Linked DNA regions of Drosophila melanogaster. The protein of the gene in region 3 purifies or fractionates together with the protein of the main gene of each other region. This does not show direct contact. Each region holds a gene or a part of one and is shown on either strand. Other genes may lie near its edges.

Evidence for each region. The genes of interacting proteins can lie anywhere in the genome.
Region 1: the proteins of c(2)M (region 3) and yem purify together in Drosophila melanogaster (affinity purification with western blotting; one study listed by BioGRID). This does not show direct contact.
Region 2: the proteins of c(2)M (region 3) and SMC3 purify together in Drosophila melanogaster (affinity purification with western blotting; 2 studies listed by BioGRID). This does not show direct contact.

What each region holds. Positions count from the first base shown.
Region 1 is NT_033777.3:29,117,830-29,126,140, forward strand, and holds yem (yemanuclein), read right to left. Parts: upstream 5,051-8,311; 5' UTR 4,373-5,050; coding exon 4,133-4,372; intron 4,078-4,132; coding exon 3,856-4,077; intron 3,788-3,855; coding exon 2,968-3,787; intron 2,908-2,967; coding exon 2,760-2,907; intron 2,694-2,759; coding exon 2,454-2,693; intron 2,392-2,453; coding exon 1,053-2,391; coding exon of another isoform or gene 756-1,052; 3' UTR 501-755; downstream 1-500. Other genes in the region: Atg14 (Autophagy-related 14), read left to right, coding at 1-67, 130-284; Ctl2 (choline transporter-like 2), read left to right, coding at 7,585-7,908, 7,978-8,311. UniProt on the Drosophila melanogaster protein: May play a key role in egg organization. May be a transcriptional regulator having a role in chromatin remodeling in concert with Hira, a histone chaperone. Involved in chromosome segregation by affecting kinetochores function in the first meiotic division.
Region 2 is NC_004354.4:16,588,496-16,596,725, forward strand, and holds SMC3 (structural maintenance of chromosomes 3), read right to left. Parts: upstream 4,945-8,230; 5' UTR 4,872-4,944; coding exon 4,857-4,871; intron 4,780-4,856; coding exon 4,665-4,779; intron 4,589-4,664; coding exon 4,449-4,588; intron 4,252-4,448; coding exon 1,132-4,251; intron 1,058-1,131; coding exon 845-1,057; 3' UTR 501-844; downstream 1-500. Other genes in the region: CG13014 (uncharacterized protein), read left to right, coding at 1-311; Ubc7 (ubiquitin conjugating enzyme 7), read left to right, coding at 5,506-5,548, 5,611-5,692, 5,776-6,035, 6,196-6,314; CG9784 (uncharacterized protein), read right to left, coding at 8,221-8,230.
Region 3 is NT_033779.5:16,299,086-16,306,440, reverse strand, and holds c(2)M (crossover suppressor on 2 of manheim), read right to left. Parts: upstream 3,178-7,355; 5' UTR 3,090-3,177; coding exon 2,959-3,089; intron 2,880-2,958; coding exon 2,716-2,879; intron 2,660-2,715; coding exon 2,379-2,659; intron 2,320-2,378; coding exon 2,136-2,319; intron 2,082-2,135; coding exon 1,697-2,081; intron 1,645-1,696; coding exon 1,337-1,644; intron 1,279-1,336; coding exon 1,144-1,278; intron 1,087-1,143; coding exon 962-1,086; 3' UTR 501-961; downstream 1-500. Other genes in the region: CG5861 (uncharacterized protein), read left to right, coding at 121-482; GMF (glia maturation factor), read left to right, coding at 3,668-3,670, 3,830-3,923, 3,990-4,180, 4,236-4,364; CG17328 (uncharacterized protein), read right to left, coding at 4,833-5,948, 6,005-6,130; heix (heixuedian), read left to right, coding at 7,129-7,355.

The sequences.
Region 1 (8,311 bases), on a different chromosome or scaffold from region 3:
CCACTCATGAAGTCAGTGGACTCCCTACTAATCGGCATCGAGACCGCCACGGAATCGGAGTCAGAGGGTGAGTTGGTTTAGCAATTTGAGGGGAATAATCTTTTCAAACTGATGCTGATGCCTTTCCAGACGAAAACTCTCTGCGCATGGACTGGGAGGCGGTGCCCAGCCTGACACCGCAGCCGGAGCTGGCGGATCCCAATCTGATGCCGGCGGCCAACCAGCAGTCTACCATCGCCTTCGTGCGAATGGCGGCCACATCGGTGCTGCGCTGGATCAAATGATCGCAGACCAACAGACGTCCGATCTTTCGGCTATATCATCATGAGACACGCGTGTTATCTTTTACAAATTAGACTAAGTAATCGTTTCTGTGACAGCACGTCGGTGTTTATCGGCAGTTGCTGGTTTTAGCGTTATCCTTTGGTTTACAGAACTAATTTTGTATCAATTATATATATACATATATATTCGCTGTGTGTAAAGAAAATGCGCCTTTTGGATTTATTTCTATTACATAACTTATTCGCCTTTATTTAATAAAAATGGTTCTCTATAAATAAATATATATAAATTTGCTTTATTAATGCTTGCATAGTACACTGACTTAGTAGGTAAACGACTCAATGAGAAACAATAATTAAACTGGTGCAATAATTGGAAAATCGGCAGACACAGCTGCGAATGAAACCTACCTAGAATCAGCACTAGAATCTTAGATTAGAATCGCAAGGGAACGAGCTGAGTGACCCTAGCTAAATGAACTTTGTGGGCAGTTGTTGCGTGGATGGGCGAGCAGCTCCAGTCGTGGTCACCACATCGCCGCCAGCGCTGGGCTGCGGCAGGCTGGGTTTAACGAATACTTGTGGCAGTGTGTTGGCAGAGGCTCCCACCTGGGCGGCGGACATGGAGACGGAGCCGTTGGCCAGCAGGTCGTAGCGCGGCGAGGCGTGGCTCATCGTGGAGAGCACGATGGCGGCGGCCATCGCCTCCTGGTTGTAAAAGGCCGTCACAGCAGCCGGAAGGGGCTGCTGTGCGGCCGATCCCGAATGTCATTGGCGCGTGGGCGTACTGGGCGCTGAGGATCCCATTCCTCCGCTTGCGCCCTTGACGCTGTTCGGCGAGAAAGCCGCTTGAATGAATTGCTTTTCCATTTCCTTCAGATTTGACATAGTTTTCATTATATGCGGATCGGTGAGATCGTACACTGGACCCAGCGTTCTTGGGCTATTGTAGATATACATGTTATTCGCGCTGTAGCCCAGGGATCCATTTACCTGCCCCACCGCACCCAAAGACGACCGACCTCTGTTCTGAGTCTTGTTCTTGGGCTTAGACTGGACTTTCTTTTGGGGCTTAGAGGCAGGAAAAACTCCCACAATCTCAACGCCATCCGACTCGCTGCTGCTTTCCCTGGCTACCGACGTCGTTTGCGCGGCCTTTGAGATGGCGGTGATGACAGTGGTGGTGGCAGCTAGCTGCTTGGACGTCTGAAGTATATCGCTGGTGCATTGATAGTCATCCAGGTTGATCACATGGGGAGAGGGCCGAGCTCCCACAATCACCTTGGCTTGGCCGTCTCCAGAATGCGGACTGGGATTCCCGCTGGCTGCCAGGGAGGCGGCCGTGATCAGATTGTAGAAATTGTTGCTGGTGTTAAGGTCAATTTTCCGGCTAGGGGATGCCAGATCCAGAACCGTACTGGCGGCTGCTACGGCGGCGGCATTGAGTGCTGCTGCCTGAGCCGAGGTGCTCGGCATGGAGAGCAGCGTGTCCAGGTGGGGCAGGTGGTTGTTGTTATTGCTAATGGCTGGTATACTGACGGCCGCCGTGGCAGCCGGCGCCAGCTGGAATTGCGGATGCGGAGTAAGTTGCGGTTGCAGCGGTACCTGCTTAGCCACCTTTTTCTTTGGCGGCTTGCTGGTCTGCTTGGGCATCTCCTTCAGCTTTCGCTTCAGACTGTTGGAGGAGGCACTTGTAGCTGAGTCCGTATCGGAGTTACCTCGAGATCGAGGGTCCTCCACTGCCTTTAGGTAGCTGCTTGCCGGCGGCATTTGCTCAGGAGCAGATACAACTCCAACGGGCTTGGGCGATGCGGACGCCGGCGGTGCCTTTGGCTTCTCCTTTGCTTTCAGCTTGGCGTTCTTGTAGCGTGTTATTTCCCTTTGCAACTCATCCAAACGCATCCAGCCTGGCGGCCACAGTTCCACCACCTTTTCCTTGAGATACCAATTGATGAACTCCTCCAACGATTCCTTGCGCTTGGCTAGGAAAGCGTAGGACGTCCAACGCGCTTGGTACACATCGTACAGCAGATGGCGTAGCTCGCTGGTCCACTGGAACTTCTTACGCGGCATTTTGGGCGGCAGTTCGGAGTTCACGTCCGCAGCTCTGAAAATAATAATCATAATCTAAAGGAACCTAATCGTTATTTCGCTTAACAACAATCTTACGCCTGTTCAGCAAATGTGCGCAGTTCCGTCTCATAGTTGGCCACCGCCTTAGGCATGACCACAGCTACAGCCCGCCGCAGCTTCTCCAGCATAATGGTGGACTTCCTCTTCTCCTCCTTCGCCCGCACTTGTTTCCCTTTGCGCAGCATGTAGTACTTGGGCAGTTGCAGCTGATACTCGATGTGGGAGAAGACCATGTTGCGCTCGTTGCGGTCCGTGCACAGCACCGCCTCGTACACCCTGGTGTAGGTTAATGGATATAAGCCTTAAATCTGTACTTGATGTTTACATCGGCTGCAAACTCACCGAAGCAGTAGTGGCGAAAGCTTCACATCCAGATTAAACTTCTTGCCGCACATGTCTCGACTCTTCACCGCTTCTTTGAAGCTGTTGACTGCGGTCACAATGTCCGCATCCAATGTGGTGGGGAGCAGAGTGTCGGCGGTGCGAAGATCTTAAAAATGAACACGTGAAAGGGTGATTTCAACCAACTAATACTGTATATGTAACTCACTTTCCTGCCCATCCTTGCCATGCTGACCGGCCTGCCTATCTGCCCGGCCGTGCTCAGACTCCATATCGCTGCTATCGCTGCTGGACACGTCGGTGGAAACACACTTCAGCTCGCCGTTGCCGACGCCCTTGACAGCTGCCGTGCCGCTCTGCGACTTCAGGAAGCTGTCTCGCTTGGCCTTTAGCATGTCCTTGACCGTTGTGGTCTTAACCACCTTCTTTAAAGCTTGCGCCTGGGCCTGACTCTGCGGCAGGGACTGAAGCTGACTTGATGGCTGAGTCTGGATAGGGTCTTGGCCGTCTTCCGTGTCCGAAATCTCCACCGTGCTGGGTCGTGGCGAGTTTGAGGATGAGGAAGTGGTGATCGGCTTAGTCGGCGGCTTCTTGCCACTCGTCAAAGAACTTGAGCTTGGTTTGGACTTGCCCGTAACGATGACCTTGGCCCGCTTAGCTTGATGATTGTCTTTGTACTTGCTGCTGGATTTGGCTGTAGCAGCAGAGTCCTCGTCCTCAAGACTTTCACTCTCGGAGTCGTCTTCGGAGTCGCTTTCATCGTTCTCCTCGGAGTCGTCCTCGGAATCGCTCTCGTCGTCCTCCTCATTGTTGCCATCATCGTTTTCGTCATCATCGCCCGAGGATGACGATGAGCTTTCCGAGCTGGACGAGACCATGCGCTTGCGTGATCGCTCTGGCATTTTGATGATGGCATCTGTTCGAGTGGTGTAGGACTTCTTGGTGAGGTTCTTGAACTCCAGTGCGCCACAGTTGATGTAGAAGCCGCCCTCCAGAGTTTCCGCCTCCTCCGGTATGATTTCGTCGTACTGGACAGAACATAGAGTTTAAGGTAAATAATTTCAGTGCATTCGTCGGAAATATTTCTTGTTCTTACGGCTTCCGTGTTGTCGATGAATGAGTCCGACTCATCGTAGCCCATTCCAATGTCCCGGTAGTCGTCCTTTTTGCTCTTCCCCCTGCCTGTGGCATAGGAGTTGCCATACTTGGCCTCCAGCTCCTTGACGATCCGTGCCACATCGTCATCGTTGTCGGCAAAGGGATCAGTGCTTGCGGAGCCATTGGTAGTGCTCACCTGCTTCAGCTTTTTGGTCTTTTTCTACGGATTGCAAGGGTTTAGAAAGCGATCCTCCAACTGAGTTATACACTCTTACCTTTTCCAAATACAAAAGCCGGGAGTAGTTAAACTCGGGATACTTGTTCGAATCGGTCTCGAACAGATCGAGTTTGATGCGGATGCACTTGGCAGTCTTTGTCGTGGGTTTGGAGCTGTTGTCGGGTGCAGCGGACGCAGCATCAGGCTCCAGGATGTTGCTGCCGAAGCGCGAGAAGCCCGCATCGCCCTGGATGATCGAGGTGAGGGTGACGCGCTTGTGCTCGCCCCCCTTTGACATTTCCGGCGGGCAGAGTTACGGATATTCAGTGGGATAGGGTTTCCTTTGAGCCGAAAGGGCCTTCCCGCCCTTTTTTTTCGAAAGAGCCGCGTGTTCTTCGTTGCTCTTTCCCTCTCTCTCTCTCGCAGCCAAACAAAAACAACAGAGACGTCGCTGCTGCTGATGCTCCTCCTCCTCCTTTTCCGCTGCTTCCTCTTCTTCTGGGGATGTCTGTTTTAGGTTTTCTGCACGTACACCAAGCAACCACAACCACTTAATAACCGTGGCAATTTCACTCTGAGCTGCACTTTCTTGTTGTCGCCCCACAAACACTGCTTTATCAACATAAACAAATGGCGAGGACCTGCGCCGGATTGCACTACTTTAATCGCCGCCCGCTTTGCAGCTGCATCCGCCGACCACGGCCACGAATAATTGTCACTTTTCTGGGGGAATGAAAAAGTGGAAACTTTTTGGGGGGTTTCAAATTGGTTGGCTTGCCGGCACGAAAACAACACAGTCTGTAAAAGCAGCGCACCGGGGATTAAACACACGCAATCGACGCTACCAAAGGGGACATTTAAACGATTCGACCAGGCGCTTTTCGCACGGCCAGGAGCGCGATTCTTAAATTGTTTCTTGTTAAAATCCTCAACGCTACATTCTCTCCGCTCCACCCCGCACCAAAGATCCGACCCTGCTTTTGGCTTTCGCACTCGCGTTGCGCAGCACTGGTCGCGGTTTTCGCAAATTACTCCGAGCCGTTCACACTGCGCGCAGCACAAGCCGAGACTTGCTGCGGCTGGCTGCATTTGGCAATATTTAGTTGTTATGGGTGCTATGTATTTCCAAAATTCCGTTAGTTAGAAATTCATTAGCTTGGCATCTAGCTCATTTTTAAAGTAAAGTTTCGAGCTACCAAGTTGATAGGTTACGTAAAATATATAGGTGGCTTATGCTGTTGTAAGCTTAATTGTTTAAAAAGGACCCAAAATCAAAATATAATGTAAACTTTTTTATAACTTACGCGGCTCTAAAACTTTCCAACAAGTAACGAGATCTGGCTTGAAAGCGGCCAACACTCGCACTAGCTTTTGTGCATCCCTGTGCAGTGCCACATTCCACACACATTTCTGCTTTGTTTTGACCAGAACGGGCCGTTGTGCAGCACTGTTCGGCACAGCTGTTCAGAGTATGGGGCCGCGGGTGGTGGGCAGATTTTCTTGGGGCGATTCAGTATTATTTCGATTGTGAAGGAGTTTACTTCGTAGAAAGTCAAGTGCTCGCCGTTTAATTAGCGCAAGTGCAAGTGAGTCGCAGTACGTGAGCTTGGGGGCTTAATTTCATGCGCCCGCTCCACAACAAAAACAAGCGAAACGAAAAGAGTTGCATGCACAGAAATTCGAATTCGGTCGAAACTGCAAGGTGTTATTATAACGGGAATGGCCAGTGCTCGTTATCGGGTGAAAACGATTAGGATTGTGCAATTAACAAAAGTGTGCCGTGCTGCTCTTTTCACAATCCAATCCAACCCAATCCCCAACTCCCCCACCCCCAATCCCCAAGTGGCACCACACAAACACTAGCACATAAACACTTATGCTGCCTTTATGCTTGCAGCCCCACTCGAGCTCTTTTATGTATGTATGTACATATTTATCCAACGAATGCAAGTGACCGACGTCCAAAGAGCAACGTACGGGATACGGAGCTCCGACAAAGGCTTCCCGCTTTCAGTGGTCCGGTGACTTTCGCCGGAGTAGTGACTCCGTCCCAGGAAACCAGCTAAACAAAAAGCCCCCAGCCGCTCGTAAAAAAGTGTCATGAGACAATAAAGGAACTTTAAGAAAGAAAGGAAAAGCGACGAGAAGAGTGGAGCTCCTTTGTTACATCTCTGGAAGAATCGTTCGGCTCCGAAGCAAAGGTGAGTAATACTGCTTCATTACGAAATTACGGGGCCTTGTACATTTGTAGTTCCAAAAAACAACAAGGGGAAATCGTTCATATGGGAAACAAGAGACTACCATTATAAGATAAGATCAGAACTGCGACTGCTTTCTTTTATCTCAAGTGACGTAGTCCAAGGTGAACACAGTAAACACTCGATGCAAGGACAACTTAGGTTTAAACCAGTTTTCTACACTACAAATTATGCAAATGGGTTAGATATCAAAACGAACACCCGTTTTCTTATCATGTCTACAAGTTTCTTTGCAAGAAAAAAAGGTTAGCTACTGAGAGTGTTGCCCGTAGCACTGCTTGAATGATAAACTCTACTCCCAGACATTGAAATTCCTACACCAAAATGGAGTTACGGCAATCGACCTTGAAACATGTGGCCCCAAATGCCTTGCCAACCCAAATTGGTTTCCCATTTTCTATGAAAACTTGTGTGTTTTTTTGGTAATTCATCTATTAAAGGCGGCAGCCAGTTTTTCATCTCAAATGGACAGAAGCCGCACACAAAAATAAAGCGATACACATAAACAATCAAACAACAGCAACAAGTGAGCGCACAAATTTAATTTGCTTTTTAATGCGTCATTATTGCCGATTTGCGACATGCTCGAGCTGCTTTACTGCTACCTCTTCGCAGATTTTCGCATCCCCAAGAGGTTCGTACAGTTGCGATCGCTATCGTTATCAGGGGAGCTCTTAAACCGAATGAGCGATACTTTATTTATTTCTGCTCTCTATTTGCTTTCATGATTAATTAAATGAGTCTGCTGTAGGAGAATGTATTAGCAATAATTATGGATAATTCACCAGCCCATCCAAAGCCATTCTTAAAGTTCATTTATCCAGTAGAAAACTTTGTTACAGAGCTAGGTTCATTGATCATTAAAAGGTTAAACAGTCTTATTCATAAACATAGGAAGAAATATTATTTAATTGTGGTTCAATCCAAAAGGGATCGTTGGCCGCCTGTCGTTGATATAATCAAACCGCACTTTGTCGCCGACAATTTCATTTACTCATCGTACTTTCCCCAACCAAACTAACAAATAAACTAGAACAAAAAGAGCCGCTGGTGGTTGGCTTCACCGCCAACACGACCACCCACTACAGATTCGGTTTTCCATTTTTAAAACAATGACGCATGCACGGAAATAAATTACATGATATACGCCTGACAATCTCATTACCTAGAGACGACGACCCATCGATAGTGGCTCTATGTATATACATACATAAAACACTCGGTTCTTCTTGGACTCTTTCAGTAGAGAGCGATGACGGAAAGCGTGGAGCTGATGAACAAGTACGGCGAGCCACTGCGCTACGACCGGAACTTCACGGGACCGAGGCAGAGGGATCGCAGCTGCACGGATGTGCCCTGCCTGCTGTTATTCGTCCTCTTCCTGGGCGGATGGGCCTTCATAGCCCAATACGCCATCAGGAACGGCGATCTCAACAAACTGCTGGTGCCCACGGACTCCTTTAACCGAAAGTGTGGCATGGACTCCGGAGTGCTGAACAAGAAAAACCTATTCTTTTTCGACTTGAATCAGTGCATCGATCCACTTGTACCCATCACTGGATGTGACACTCCACAGGTGAGATACCATTAACATCAAATTTGCAAGGAGTTGATCTTACTTTTAATGAAATACGTATTTCAACAGGTTTGTGTGGAGACTTGTCCCCGAGAGACGTTCGTCTGGGACACTATGAAGGACAAACAAAGTTTTGCGGAGCTGCATAGTCGCCTCATCTGCTTGTCGGAGGAGCACAAGGCGCAGATTCGCACCAAATCGGACATTCAGGATGCCATTAACCAGAACCAGTGCGCACGCTGGTACATCAAGAGTGCTCCATTCCTCAAACGATGCCTCTTCGAGTTCTCGCAGGGCGTGTGTGATTATATTCCCTCGTTTCTGCTAAATGGGGGAAGGTCGAGGCGGGAGCTGCATATGTTGCCCGGAAACGCCACCACAGAAGTTCAAATGCAGGCCGATG
Region 2 (8,230 bases), on a different chromosome or scaffold from region 3:
TTGCAGTCACCAGCTTGTGGTTCGGCAACAGTCGCAGTCCACTGGGTGCCACATTCATAAAACTGGATGCCGCGCAATTGGGCCTCTGTGTTCTGTGGAATGTCCACTGTCTTTGGCGCATCGCCATCGTCGACGAGCACTGGTGGTCACTTGGCCTGGCCCTGCTTGTTCTGCTGAATCACTTTGTCCTGTGGCGACTGCCGCTGCACTACAACATCAGCCAATTGGAGGTGGCCACCGTGGGCATGTGCTTTAGCACCATCTTTGCGCTGAATGCCATCCAGGAGCAACTGGACGCTGTGGCCAGCTGAGAGTAGCTGGTCGGGCAACCAGGGACTGGAGCCTTGATTGCCAAGCTCTAAGACACCAACATTTAATTATAAGATGCACGTTGTTGAACAATTTTTTGAGTAATAAACCAGACTTCTTATTTCGAAACAATTATTGCATTGTTATCATACATACATAAAAGTGTGGAATTATATTGGATTAGACGGTTTCCTTTTGCATAAGCTTTTTAATACATATTTTCGTTTTAAATATAGTTTAAATTACTTCTCTATGCGCTTTATTACATATTGATCTGGGCTTGGAGTTTCTATACTCTCGGTTTTGTTCGCCGGCTCGAAGTGTTCCACGCAACGAGCACGGCCTAGCCGAAAACTAACTCTCATTGTTAAGGAAAATTAAATGTAGCAAGTATCGTTAGAAAGAAAACTATATATATATATATGTATACGATTTAAAAGAATGTGAAAACAAATCGTACGCCTACGAAACTAATAATTGGGGCGAGAGATGGTTGTGGTGGGTTGAGGGATGAGGTTTTGGGCGGGGCAATTTCCTAGGCGTGGGTGCTGTCGTCCTCGACGAAGTCCTTGGCCTCCTCCCTGGTCACACAATCAATGTGACTGACCTTATTTCGGAATCGCACGCCGTAGAACTTGTGCGCGTTCTCCAGCAATTCCGGCCGGAACGTTGTCGTAATGAACTGGGCAGTGTCGCTGAGCTCATGGATCATGTTCGCCACCGCCTTTCGATGCATTGCATCCAGCGCCTGCACAAAACATTAGTAGATCATTAGTCAATCAAATAAAGTAATGCGTAATTATAGGTAATGTGACGACTCACCTGATCTATCTCATCAAATAGGTAGAAGGGAGCTGGATCGCACTTTTGGATGGAGAAAATGAGGGCCAGGGCGACAAGCGACTTCTGTCCACCAGACAACTGGTTCATCTCACGCATCTCAGCCTCAACGCCGGTGAACGAAACCCGAATGCCGATCCCTGTGAAAGCATCGGAGTTTTCCACCTCCTTTTCCATTTCGTCGCCTTCGTTGTCCTTGGTCTTCAGGATGAGAAAGCCCGCGCCCATGGGCACCAGCTTCTTAAACACCTTGGTGAAGTTCTGCGCCACTTGTCGGAACGTAAATTGAATGGCCTCCACTTTTTGCATCTCCAATGACTGAATTAGCATGTGGATCTTCTGGTCACCGATGTCGAGCTCCTCTTTGCGGCGATAGAGCTTCTCCTTCTGCTCGGAGAAGCTCAAGAACTGATCCAGGGCTTTCTTGTTCACATGGTTATACTTCTTCAGGTGCTGGTTTGCCTTCTCCAGCTCTTTGAAGATGTTCTTCAGGGACATGCGTGTGTAGGAAGGATCAACTAGCGGCACGGCGCCCAAGCTGGCAATCTTTTCCGTACACTCATCGATTTTTTCGTTGAGCATGTTCTCCTTGGTCGACCATTTCTCCAGCTGCTTGGAATCCTTGTTAAGATTCTCCTCGGCCTCCTTCTCCTTACGCACATGCGTTTCGAGCTCCTGCTGCAGCTCCTTTTGCAGTTGCACAGCCTCCATTACCCGCTTTTCGATCTCCTCCAGATCGGAGTTGACCTTCTTGATTCTCTTTTCGGCGGAAACCAGTTCCGTTTTGCAATTGTTTAGCTTTCGCTTGCGGTCCTCCACGGAAATCTCCTGCAGCGCTTGGATCAGTTCGTCGCGACGCCGGAACAGATTGTTGATCAGCAGGTTGTCTAGCTTGTTCTTGCGCACCTCGAACTGCATACGCTGCGTAAACGCTTCCTTATTCTCCTGGTTCAGTCGACGAATGTCGTCGTTCAGCTGGTCAATCTCACGCTGATCCTGCGACGACAACGTCGACATCAGCTCCTGCTTCAGCTCCGCCTCCAAACTAGATTTCGTACTGGTCATGGACTCCAATGAGGCCTTGCATTGGGCCAGTGAGCGCTCCTTGGGCGCACGATACTGCTCGATGCGCACCAGCTCCTCCTTCATCAGGCGAATCTCGCCCTGCACCTTTTCGAATACATCCTTCGACTTGCCCTGCTTCGTTTCCGTCTTCTGCATCTCGGATACGATTGAGTTGATGTTGTTCTCGGTGGACTTGAGCTCGTTTCGCAGCTTGCTGAGTTTCTTTTCGAATTCAGCTATCTGGCTGGTGTATTCCGTGCGCTTCTTTTGCATCTCAAGACGGGAACGGGATGTATTGAAATAGCCGCCAGTGAGGGATCCCTTGGAGGACACTTGATCTCCGTCCAGCGTAACGCAATCCAGCCCAGTGCTCTTGGCCAGCTCGGTGGCGCGCTCCAAATTTCTGCAGATTAGCGTTTTTCCAAAGATATACCTCAGCGCCTTGTCGTGCTGTTCATCGTACTTCAGTTTGGAGATCATAGGTATGGAGTCGGGATCATCCGGATAATCGTGTATTTTAACCTGAAGTCGATTCAGGGGCATAAAGGTCACCTCGCCCGGTAATTTCAGCTTATTCATCTCCTTGAGGATTTGCGTGCCCTCGTATTCTGACTCCACAATGTGATGGAATAACCGATTGGCGGCTGTTACCTCCACCGCCGTGTAGATGGTCTTGTCGCAGCTGAAGTTCTCAATGACGGGTCCATAGTAGGCTCTCGCAATCTCCGCCGATTGACCGCCACGTTCCACAAAGCTGTCGAGAACCTTGCGCACAGAATCGCAACCGTTCAGGATCGGCTTGCCGGCCATGCTGCGCAGCGCCTGGTCCGCCCGCGATAGCTCCTCCTTGTGCGTCTGCAGCTGCTGCGTCATCTGTGTCTCCTTGCGCCACAACTCGTTTCGCATGGACTGATGCTGGTCCTTGGTCTTCTTAAGCTCGTAGTACTTCTTGTTGTGCTCGTCGATCTGCAGTCGGAGCTGCTCCAGTTCCGATGAGTGCTCCTCGATCTTTTGACCCAGATCCTTTTCGGAGGTAGCGTCCTTCTTCAGATCCTCCACGAGTTTTGCGTGATGAGCGATTTTATCGCGCGTCTGTTTGCTAATTGACTTCAGCTCGTTGGTGATCCATTTGTCGCGATCCTCCCTAGAGGAGAACTGTGAACCGCGACCCTGCTTGGCGTAAAGCTCCTTGCGCTTCTGTTCCTTGAGCTGCAGCTCTCGGGAGCAGTCTTCCTCCTTGCGCTTCATCGCCTCGTATTTGGGCTTTACGTCGTCCAGTTCCTTTTCGCGTTCGGCTATCGTTACCTTAAGGTTCTTAAGCTCCTGGTCAGCCCGCTCCTTGGACTTGTTGTCGCCCTGAACCTCGTCATTTAGATCGACAATGGTTAGGTCTAGTTTCGTTTTCTCGCGCAGTAACTGTTGCTGCTCCGTCATCAGTACGGAGCGCTCCTCCTTTGTGCTCTGCACTTTCTTCTTTGCCTCTTTAAGGTTCTTTTGCACATCCTTGATCTTCTCTTGTGCCTTCTGAATCTCAATGTTGTAGATCTTCTTTTTGTCCGAGGACGACTTGCGCTGCAGCTGGAGCTCGTCGAGAGCCTTCTTGGTGTCCTTCAGCTCGGTTTCGTAGCGTATATACTCTAGCGTGCGGCGCGTCTTGTCCCACTTCTGGTACTCCTTTAGCTCTTCCTTCTCCTCTTCGAGCGTCTGGAGCCGATCCTCGATGGTCTTTAGGTACTCGCTGATTTTCTCCACCTTGCTGTCCGTCTCGCGCAATAGATTTAACGACTCCTCCTTCCGTTCGTCGTAAACACGCGTTCCCGCGACTTCGCGTAGCAGCTTGAGACGATAGGAATCGGCGGCAGTTGCCATCTGATTGATTTTGCCCTGCTTGACAATGTAGTAGGGATTTGAACTGGAAAAACCAGCCGATTCCAGCAGATTGACCACCTCATTGCGCGGCACCACCTTCTTGTTGAGGAAGTACTGGTCCTTTTTGGCGCCAATCACGCGCCGCAGAAAGATCTCTTCTTTGTCGATCTACAAAATAAGCGTAGCGTCAGTTATGAAGTGGCTAGAAATGTTTGCCTATAAGTTTGAATATTATGAGAAGATGCTATGAGCGGGTTGCTTTAGAGGATTTTGAGCGATATGTTACAACCATTGACTACATCTTCCAAGGCAGTAGAGTTCTTGCAAAGACTATGTTTTCTGGGTCACTTGGTTTGACTACTCACTGGAACTCGGTTGTCCGAGTTGTCGAAGATGATCTCCACATAGGCGGAGATGACGCGGGCACCTGTTCCCTCGTGCAGAAGCGACTGACGCTGCTCCGGCCGCAAGTGGGTGAACTCATCGCTTAGCACAAACTGGATGGCTGCAAAGTGGATGGGATAGCATTAGGGTCGATTAAATATGGTTAGCTGAACAGGCAGGCTGGAGCTGATACTAACCGTAGAAGAAGTTGCTCTTCCCGGAGCCATTACGTCCAACAACAACGTTATGGCGCTTGTCGAATGGTTCCACCACCGTCTGGTCCTTGTAACTCTTGAAGCCTTGTATAATAATCTGGAATTAACGGGTGGATTTCAGATCTTCGGTGTCCAATGGGTGGCCAGGAGCATGGCCGTCATTTCAACACTCACCTGCTTGATGTGCATCTTATTATATGCGATTTTTTGCACAAAATCGCGCTCTTTTTGTTTTACAACAAATACATAAATAATATCGACTCGGGCAGCGACTTATCGATGTTTGCGTTTCACTATCGATGTCATCGATATCCCAACTTTGAAAAACACTGGCTTGCAATCGAACCAAAAATTCAAATGATATAAAACAAAAAAATAATTTTAAATTTTACAACTAAAAGTGTCCATCAATAATGGTTTAAGAAGCAAACAAATAATTAATTTAATAAGGTAGTTTGAAGGTGTGAAATACTAAAACAACGATAGCCGACGTTATCGAATCGAATCGATTACTCTTGTTAAATTCACTCAGTACAGATATATTTTTATAGAAAGCCACTCGATTCATTCGATATAAATAAACACGGAACACCGTTTGTGTTTATTATATTACGACGTGTCTGTATTTTGACCCGTGCCCGAGGATCTGGAAAGTTCGCGATTGCCGCCAAAACAAGCAAGGACCCCATTCGGGTGTAGCAGGTGCAGGAGCAGGTGGACAGGAAACGGAGAAGCAGCTGAAGGAAACTCAAAGGAAGTGGTCACAGTGGGGAGAAGGAGCCCGTGAACTGAACCATCATCATTACCATCGAGCGCATTTAGGATGGCTGGGTCCGCACTGCGCCGCCTGATGGCGGAATACAAACGTGAGTCGAAAGTCCACAGGGCAGCAACAGCTTTCCCTTACCACCGCTCCGATCATCTCCAGAGTTAACACTTGACCCGCCCGAGGGCATTGTGGCCGGCCCCATCAGCGAGGACAACTTCTTCGAGTGGGAGGCACTGATTGCGTGAGTTAAGATCCCCGAACGATCGACACGGATCGGACAGATGTGGACAGATTAACCCATTAATTGCACTTTGCCCTTTGCAGCGGACCTGAGGGCACTTGTTTCGAGGGCGGAGTGTTTCCTGCCCGGCTCATCTTTCCGACCGACTATCCTCTGAGTCCGCCTAAAATGAAATTCACTTGTGACATGTTCCATCCCAACATATTCGCCGACGGGCGGGTCTGCATATCAATACTACACGCACCCGGCGACGATCCCATGGGCTACGAGCTATCCGCGGAGCGCTGGAGTCCTGTCCAGAGCGTGGAGAAGATTTTGCTTAGTGTGGTCAGCATGCTGGCGGGTAAGAAAAAAGTCACAATAAAGTCTTAAGGGCAATTCCAACGGGGGTATCTACTTCCAAGTTCATTTGTTCACTAGATTATATGGTTGATCATGCCGATAGTTCACTTCACTTGTTCATTCCTTAAGTTCAAACTGATGTCGTTCATTTTTGCCCACAGAACCCAACGATGAGAGCGGCGCTAATGTGGATGCAGCAATTATGTGGCGCGAACAGAGGGATGAGTTCAACGCCATCGCCCGACGGCTGGTGCGCAAAACTCTTGGTTTACCGGCGTAAATGGATCATGTGCGTCACCGTCAATACTTTCTACCCTGAACAACACGATTCCAACAACTCGCTAACCCATAGTTTTCTCAAAAATCCCTCGTTGAGCTAACCGACACAAGTTTCAAATTAGCAAAAATGAAGAACCTAACGTCAAAATCGACTAACTCAAGTTTATCTAGCACACTGACTGCCTCACCGGACTTAACTGGAGGGCCTATTACCTGAAGTACATCACTGGTAGTTGGACACGAGGCCAGGTGAAGGCGGAGTGAGAAGTTGGCAAGAAAAGTGAAAATTCTAATAATTTCTATTATTAAAGGTTTATTTTTTTTTATATATTTTCACTAGATATAATTTGTATTGATGCTTTATAAAGATGCTGTTTTGAAAAGTTAAATAGAAATTACGATAATTCAAGTGCAAGGGCAATGTATTCGAAGTGATTGAGGCGTTTGATTTGCATTATGCTTTATGTTTGGTTTATATAGTCATTACACACTTAATTCGACTGATCATTAACTGAAATCCAACATGAAATTGTCCTATGTACTCATAAAATACTACACAATTGTAAACGTTTTCATTCGATTAAGTAAATTGATTAATGTTCACTTTGATAAGGCATACGACTGTATGTATGTATATATATATATATATTTATATGTTTATAGGTAGGTGGGTAAATGCACACCCATACACATACATTGGTTAAGTGTCCACTGGTATGAGGGTAATATAGTTATCTAATAGTTGCTGAAGGTTACTAAGCCACACGAATTTCAATTGACCGGGCCCGCATAAATTAATGCTCTCTGTCTTCTTGGTTTTCGGACCATAGATGGGCTCGAAAATGTTTACACCATTCGATCGTTCGAGTACGGTGGGCACCACAGACTTTTACGGCCCACTGTACGTTCCACCAGTTAGTCAGTCAGTCATCAAAACATTGCCAATTAGTGGGAGTGGGCAAGGGCTGCGCCAGTTCGGATTTCCATTGACCCACTGTACGGTGGGTGGGGGAAGTCAATGCAGATTGCTTGAATTTTCTGCTTGGTGGTCTACTTGGGTTGCAGCTATCGTTAAGGTGCAGTTCTTATCTAAACTATCCTTATATAAATTTTATAGATTATATACCAATCAGATAATGGAAAAAACATCGCATGCCGCTTTATAAAAGTCTACGTTTCCGGAGAAAAACCTTTTCTTTTTGTTTAAAACATTAAAAATCTTTCGTAAGTTGAGCTGGTTGGTTTAGAATCATGGTTAAAAAGTTCACTTTTCTCTTTTTTGTTATTCAAAAAATTAAATACAATTTGCCTACATTAAATAGTAGTTAAATGAAGATAAAATTATATTCATACTTTGCTACTCTATTCAATATAATACCTTTTCTCTATATATTTCACTTGAGAGGCATTCAAAAATATCACTTTTCAGACTCCGGTTTCTGCCCATTTTGGCTTAGAGCTCTCACCTGGCTCTCATCAATAAGTTTTTGCCTGTTACTGGCAACAGGGTGTGTCATAGTGTAGATGTGTGACAGTGAATGTGGCGTAATTAACCTTTTGACAAACCGGTTAAATACAAATATCTAGTGCCATGACACCGTACAAATAAAAATAACAAAATGACAGCAGAGCAAATAGAACATATGTATGCAAACGAAAAAGCGGGATTCATTCAGGGCGGGAATAGGTGGAATTGGTAGTAAACACAAATATTATTGGTTCGATAATTATGTATAATTACATATGTATGTATTAACGTATTTTGGAGGGGGGGAGAGGAGAGGAGGCGCTGAGTCAACAGCTAACAAGCAAACTTAACACGGTCACATGAGGTCAATAAAATTAGATCAACACGGCGGTTATGGAAACAGAGACTAAAGAATAAAGATATCCAGAGCCTCGGCTAGCTAGTCAACA
Region 3 (7,355 bases):
TTCAGATATATTAATGTTACAAGAGCCAATGCCTACTCAACCTTTAATACCCCAACCCATATATGTATGACAACTTCCAAAAATTTAGTAAAAACTAAATATTTTCGTATACTTCCGCAGGGGCCACCGCCGAAGTGATTCTTTCCCGAGGTATCATGCTGTGGGTGGGTGCCCGAGGCACCGAGTTCAGTTGGATCTACATCCTCAAGTGTCTGGAATCGAACGTGCTTCTGGTGCAGCACATCACTACGGCCACCCTGATCTGGCTCTTCACCCGTCACGATTTGAACAAGGCATTAAAGCCGCTGGTTAGTCTACTTCTGGCGGTGACTGTCTTCAAAGGCGTCTGGCTGGAGGGCATGCTCCACATTCTGACCATTGGACCTTGGCTAACGGTGGCTGTTAAAGCGCTGGTGGCGGCCGTCATTGGATTCTGCACGCTGCACATCTATTCGGGTCTGGCCCAGCAGATCGGAATTTAAGCAATTGTGCCAAACACTCTGTATTCCTTTGTTTTTGTAACTTGTTTATTTTTTGGTGTTGTCAGAGAAATTGAGATTTTGTAACAAAGACAACAATTACGGTTTAGAGAATTACTCCAAATGTTAATGAATTATAGCTACGATAACGTAATAGTAACAAAGATAACAAACAACTTTTAATGGGTACACGAAACTAATATGATAATGAAAAAAAAACTATTTTTATAGACAGCAACAAGTAACATCTATAGAATTTTTCAATTCTTGAAATGAAACGAATTATCCAGGACATCGTTGCTCAATTGTACCATAAGATTGTATGGAAAAAGAGTAGATTAAAGCCATCTAGGTTAGAGATTGGCTCAACTTATATGTTATAACACAATAGCAATAACAGAAAACAAAACAACAACAAAAATGTGGAAGATTGTCAACTACAAAGTTGTTTGGTAATCTTGAAAAAAATTATCTAAAAATATTCACAGAGTCTCACTCAGCATAAGATTGTCTATTAGCTTAGCGGACTCTTTGCCAAGAGTAATTTGGTACATTTCCAGCGAATTAGCTCGCTTTGATATCTCTATAAAATGGTCTCGAACAAGATCTGAAATTTAAGCTATACGTTATTTCCAACACACATTTTGTTCTTTTTCGAACTCACACAACAAATGGAGAAAGGCTAACGAAGCCTTGATGCGACTATCAAACGTTTTTATAAAATCAATGGCATCGATTCCCGTGATTTTCGGATTATTACGCCAAATGCTTAAGAGACTCATCATTACGCTGTAGGTATCTGCAATGAGATTATATTTTATTTACGATAGCATGTTGTAAACATTGGCTGAACTCACCATCATGATTATCCTCACGGTATATGCCGTGCTCATTCATTTCATTATGATAATTCTGATTTACATCATCACGTGGCTGAAGTTGAGGTTGCACACAGTCTTCCACTTCAAGCGGTTCGGGCTGATAGATATGTGCCGCTTTATCCCTACATTTTGTAGCCTGCGATGGTCGCACAAATATCTCTTTAGAAAGATTCTCGGTAAACTCGCAGCCAAATATGGTTCTCAATGTGTTTTCTGCCTCGAATTCCTTTTCTTCATTACTGAGCTTAGGTCCGGAGTGGTTATGAAGAGCTAAAAAACTTACACTACATCAAAAAATTAAAAAGTTTTAAATAGCAAAATGTATAAGGCTCCTACTTATTATACAGTTTACAGAGAAGTTCCTTAGGGGGTTTCCGTAAATCCGAGGATTTTGGCACTATCACATTCCTTGAAAGGTATTCTTCCATATATTTCTGTCTATGCTTCACCAGCTGCTCCCGGGTGTATTCAATTCGTTTGTCTACTATTAGCTTTCTTTTCCGATTTTTCGGGTGGCTAAATGTTATTTCTCCAAAAGAATTTAAAACGGATGGCAACGACGGTTCACAAACTATCTGAGTTACTTCAGCTGGTTCAATGTTATGCGGAAAGATTTGGGTCATGATAGCATTGTCAGCTTGGAAAACATCGCAATCATCCAATCTGGGCATTTTATCCGGTAAGATGTCAGTTGGATCCTGAGCTATTGAGTGTCGCTTTACTATAATACAAAAAAATAGTTTATTACATTTTCAATTGAATTGAGAATTCTTACGTGAGTTCCGTGTGCCATCTTTGGGGTAAAGCTCTTGAAAAATGGTTAAGTCCGCGCCCTCGGCTTCGCCAAAACCATTTGATGGCATAATTAAGCTATGATCTTCGGGAAGTTCAATCTCTTCGGTGATTGTAATGGAATGATACGACTTTGACTGAGTGCAACTCCGGGGTTGTTCAATAGACTTTTTGCGAAAAATGAAATCATATAAGGAAGCAGTCCAACAGTATATTGACGACTAACCTCGTTCAGGTCCTCCACCACCTGTTGTGTGCACTCCGTTTGCCACATCTGGCATTCGGATAGCATCTTCTCGTAGTATTCATGTGAGAATTCATCCAATAGATCCGATTCCTGCAGTCTGGGACGTTTTGATACTGTTACTTTAGATTTCTTGGTGATCACCCGCTTTCCTTTGCGTTGGATTCGAATCTCTGATTTGTTGACCACTACGGATTTTGTTGTGGTGAGAACGTAATCCAAGTTGGTACGTGTACATTGGTCAAGTAATACCTTCGTGTCCCCTGTAAGAATTCGTGATTATATATCAATGTTACGTAATATTCGGACTAATACTTACCCAAAAGTAGATCCACTTGGCATCTAAAAATATCCGCAACTCCAAAAACCAAGCGGGAAATGTCCTTGAAAATAACATTTTGCCGGTTTCTTGCGGCCAAAACATTGGATCGTTTCTGGCGTTTTCTTAATGCATTTTCCTCAATTAATTCGGTGATTTGCTTGCTGAAATGTAGATAAATGTTGAAAACAATTGAATATAATGAAATGTTAAAAAAATTCATTATATTTAATATTTAATTACCAGCAGGCGACTACATCCACATCAGCGATCTCATTTCGATTAAGTTGGCCAAATGCCGATTTCCTCGGTTTGCGCCCTCCCGCTTTCCAGCAGGAATTAAGGATGTTGCTCTCATATAAATTCAAGCTCATTGTAACTACGACATTAAGCACATAGATTATAGTATTAACTATTTATAAGTTAGTGCTCTCTGTAACAACCCTAAAGTAACGGTACTTTTTTGACAGTCCATCAGCCACTAGAGAGGACAAACATGATCCAAATATCGTATACGAACGATTTTTACCTACTATAAAATAATGATAAGTTTTAAGTATATCTACAAAACATTTTTAAAAAAGAGCGTTCCTATTTCAATCTAAAAAATACATTTCAATTATTTTTAATAAATTCCATAAATAATACCAATGTTGCCGTAAAGAAAAAAGCTTAATGAAAAAAAAACCTTTAGCAAATATTGTTATTATTTTTTAATTTATCAGAAACGTCGTTTAACAACACTTCACATATTTTTGATGCAGCACAGAATATTATTTGGCGTTCAGTGAACGGTCTCACTGCAGGAACAACAAAACAAAACTCAGAATAAACGACAGTATTTAAACGATTCCTTAAGGACAAGTGATATTGCATTCCTACAATTAACTGCCAAAAATTCGGTAGTGCAGCACACTTTACAGATCGCATCCCTAACTTCATAGCTAAAGTTATGGTAGGAAGTGTATATAGGGTCGGAAATCAATTACCAAAATGAAAACATGACTAATAGAGTGTGGGCGTGTTTTTGTTTTTGTTTTTCAATCGACGATTGTTGTTAGCAGATAACTTTGGTGATTCCAATTCATTAATCAATTATATCGATTTCATACAGAGTGATAACCAGATATGCGACATAAGCAACGAAGTTCTGGAGGAATTGAAGAAGTTTCGATTCAGCAAGAGCAAAAATAATGCGGCTTTGATATGTAAGCCTTGATTGTCATGGTAACAGATGTGTGTAGTTTTTATGACCACTCCATTGTCCCTTGCAGTGAAAGTCGACCGGGAGAAGCAAACGGTGGTGCTGGACGAGTTCATCGACGATATTTCGGTGGACGAGCTGCAGGATACATTGCCAGGACACCAGCCCCGATATGTCATCTATACGTATAAAATGGTCCATGACGATCAGCGCATTTCGTACCCAATGTGCTTCATATTCTACACACCCAGGGATAGCCAGGTGGGAGTTTAGCAATGCTCAAATATATTCTATAATTCATAACTCTCTGTTTCAGATCGAATTGCAGATGATGTACGCCTGCACGAAGAGCGCTCTTCAGCGCGAAGTAGATCTCACACGCGTCTACGAGATACGCGAACTAGACGAACTCACCGAGGAGTGGCTGAAAGCCAAGCTCAAGTAGAGAGGTTTCGATCTCTGGGATCAATCAATCCGGGCCGTTGTCAAAAGCAATATTTTATGATAGTTCTCTGATTGATTTTTGAGCTTTTTATATACATATTCAAACTGGATTAAGCCGATACCAACGATGCATACCAATACCAAACAAACCAATATTGAGATACTACAATTTTTACCTACAGAAAACACAAATCAAGCTTAGTTTATACAACAATGACATTTTTATATCGACGACAAGTATGCGACAAGTACGCGCGGGGAGTTTTTAGTGATTTTAGTTCTTGCATTTAAGTAATAATCTTAATAGAAGCTGTGCTTGCCAAATTTCTACATGTATTTATTGTAAAGATATAAAAGCAAACATGACAAAATATTCCATTTTATATAGACAAACTAAATAAAAGTGTTCAATATCAAAACATAATCTAAAACAATAATTATGATTAAGATAAATCTTCGTAGCTATACTCTAATAATGTAGTCTTTGTGCCGCCGTGTGGTGCAGCATAGTGTAACGTCCTTCACTTGGCGTTGGCGGTGGAGGCGGCGGCGGTGCCAACATGTGAGCCATTGCAGCCATTCCCATTTGTGTGGCGGGATTCGGTGGGCCGAGATGATGCAGTGCATCGTGATGGTAGTGATGCGACATAGGTGGTGCAGGAGGCAACGGCAAATTCAGTAGATTATTATTCGCCGCATGCGTGCGAAAATGTAGACTTAGGCTGTCCGCCGTATCAAATGCCTTGTCGCAATCCGGACACTTGAAGTGGGCGTGATCGAGGGTGTCCAGACCCACGGGATCCGTGTCTATAGCCTCATCATCATCATCATCCACTATATCATGGTTTGTACTGGACTCCAGAGGATGAAGCTTCAATTTATGAGTCCGCATATCTCTTCGCCTGCTGAAAGCCTTGCCGCAGACATCGCAGTGATGGTTTTTGATGCCCGTATGGGTTATCATGTGCTTGGAGAGATCACCGGCGGTGTAGAAACCTTTCTGACATAGCGAGCATACCTGATCCCGCACTCCTAAATGAATCTTCTGGTGCGCCTGGAAATTGCCTAACGCGGAAAACTGCTTTGAGCAGATCTCACACTGAAAAGGCTTGTCGCCCGTGTGCGTTCTTTCGTGGACTTTAAGATTGTACTTTTGGGCGAATCTCTGGATACAAAAGCTGCATTGGTAGGGTTTCTCGCCAGTATGTGTTCTTATATGCTGTGTTAATTGGGCAATGCATTTGAAGCTTTTGTGGCACTCGTAGCAGGTGTGGGGCATCTTTGGCACAGGTTTGGGCCCCCGTTTTTTGTGCTCTTCTGGCGGCTTTCTTTGATAGCGCGACCGCCTCTTGCTCACTTTGGCATCCACGGGTTCCTCTTCATCGCTATCGCGCTGCGGAAGCAACGGCTTCTCCACAAAGTCCGTATTGGTGGCCGCATCCTGGCGCCAGGATTCCAGAATGCCCAGATATTGTCGCAGTCGGAGATCACTGTTTTCGCATTCCTGCTTGAAGTGGAAGGCCACCCCCAGCCGGTAAATACAGTTGTTGCAGATCACCGAAGGTAGGCCATCGGTTTTAAAAACCTAAAACAATTTCCATATGCCAATTAACATTGAAATATTTTGTTTTTAGAACCCACTCTTATTTTAGCGCATTGCATCAACATTACGGAGGGCATCATAGCAAAGTCTGTACTATATATCGAAGTTACAGGATGTAGTTCCTCCAGGCAAACTCTGCATATTTTGTGGATATTATAGTCCATGTTTTATTTCAATTTTATAGAAATCAACAAAAAAATTATTGAAAATTTTGCTCTAAACTCCTATCAGCTGATTGGGACCAGGGCTGCAACGGTACAGTCGTAACTCTAGCTTGTGAAACAAATCTATCATATATGATTAAATTTGTTTCGCGTGTTTAAAATGAATTTCATACTCAATGTGGATTCATTTCCGCAAATATGCAAAAGATATAGTAATATTTTGGTGAGCTACTTCAACTACTAATTACGTTGATAAGTGTTGATAACAATGATTACATAAATATTTAAAACCCACCTTTGTTTTACGAATTATATAAAAAATGCACATACATGTACCGCTAAATATTTATTGCATATTATCTGAATTATTTTCATTTATGAAATTTGGGTAAAAACTGTAGGAATAGGCAGGGCTGCACATGCGATACGGCGTTGCCACCTTCAACGAAAAAGTGTAACCTTTTTTCGTTTTTGCGCTGACGTGACGTGACAGTTGATTTGTTTGATTAAAATAACTAAGAGTAAAATCGCAGCCAAATCGATTTGCGCCACTAACCCGGAATCGATAGCCGGAAGCAAAGACGCAGCCGGAAAAGGAGAGGCATATAAGAAGAACGATCCTCGCACCGGTCGAGGAAAAGAGAGAGAGAGAGAGGGGCAGCGAGAGAGAGAGAGCGTGAGAAACTGGGAGCTGCACGGGTGAAATTTCGTGGTTTCGGGACCCCGACCACCTGAGCTCTCCACCCCCCGCTGATAATATACATATCCCCGCATATATTCCCCACTTTCAAGATGCTGTGTATACAATATTAGCGATTATCGAGACCAGGCAGCGCATGTGCCGGCATCCAAAAAGGCACAAATTGAATACTTTAACTATTGTAAACAAATTCTGGAGAGGAGGTGACCAAGGTCAAACAATCCGACGAATACGAATACCTGGCGGCTAGTCTCGTTTCACTCCACCGCAAAGTGCCAGTTAACCAGTGCCGCTTGCCATGGCCACAAGCAGCCAGCTGTTGCCCAATGGCAACTTGTCCAGGAATGGCAAGACCAAGACAGAGGACGGTGAGGAGGTGGAAGCCGTTGTTGGAGCTCGTGCAGCAGGTGCAGATGCCGGAGTAGCACTAACGGGACGACTAACAGGACACCCATCCACATCCGGAACGTTTATGAAACTGAAAACCTATCTCCTAGCTCTGCGTCCCTGGTCGCTGTCCGCCAG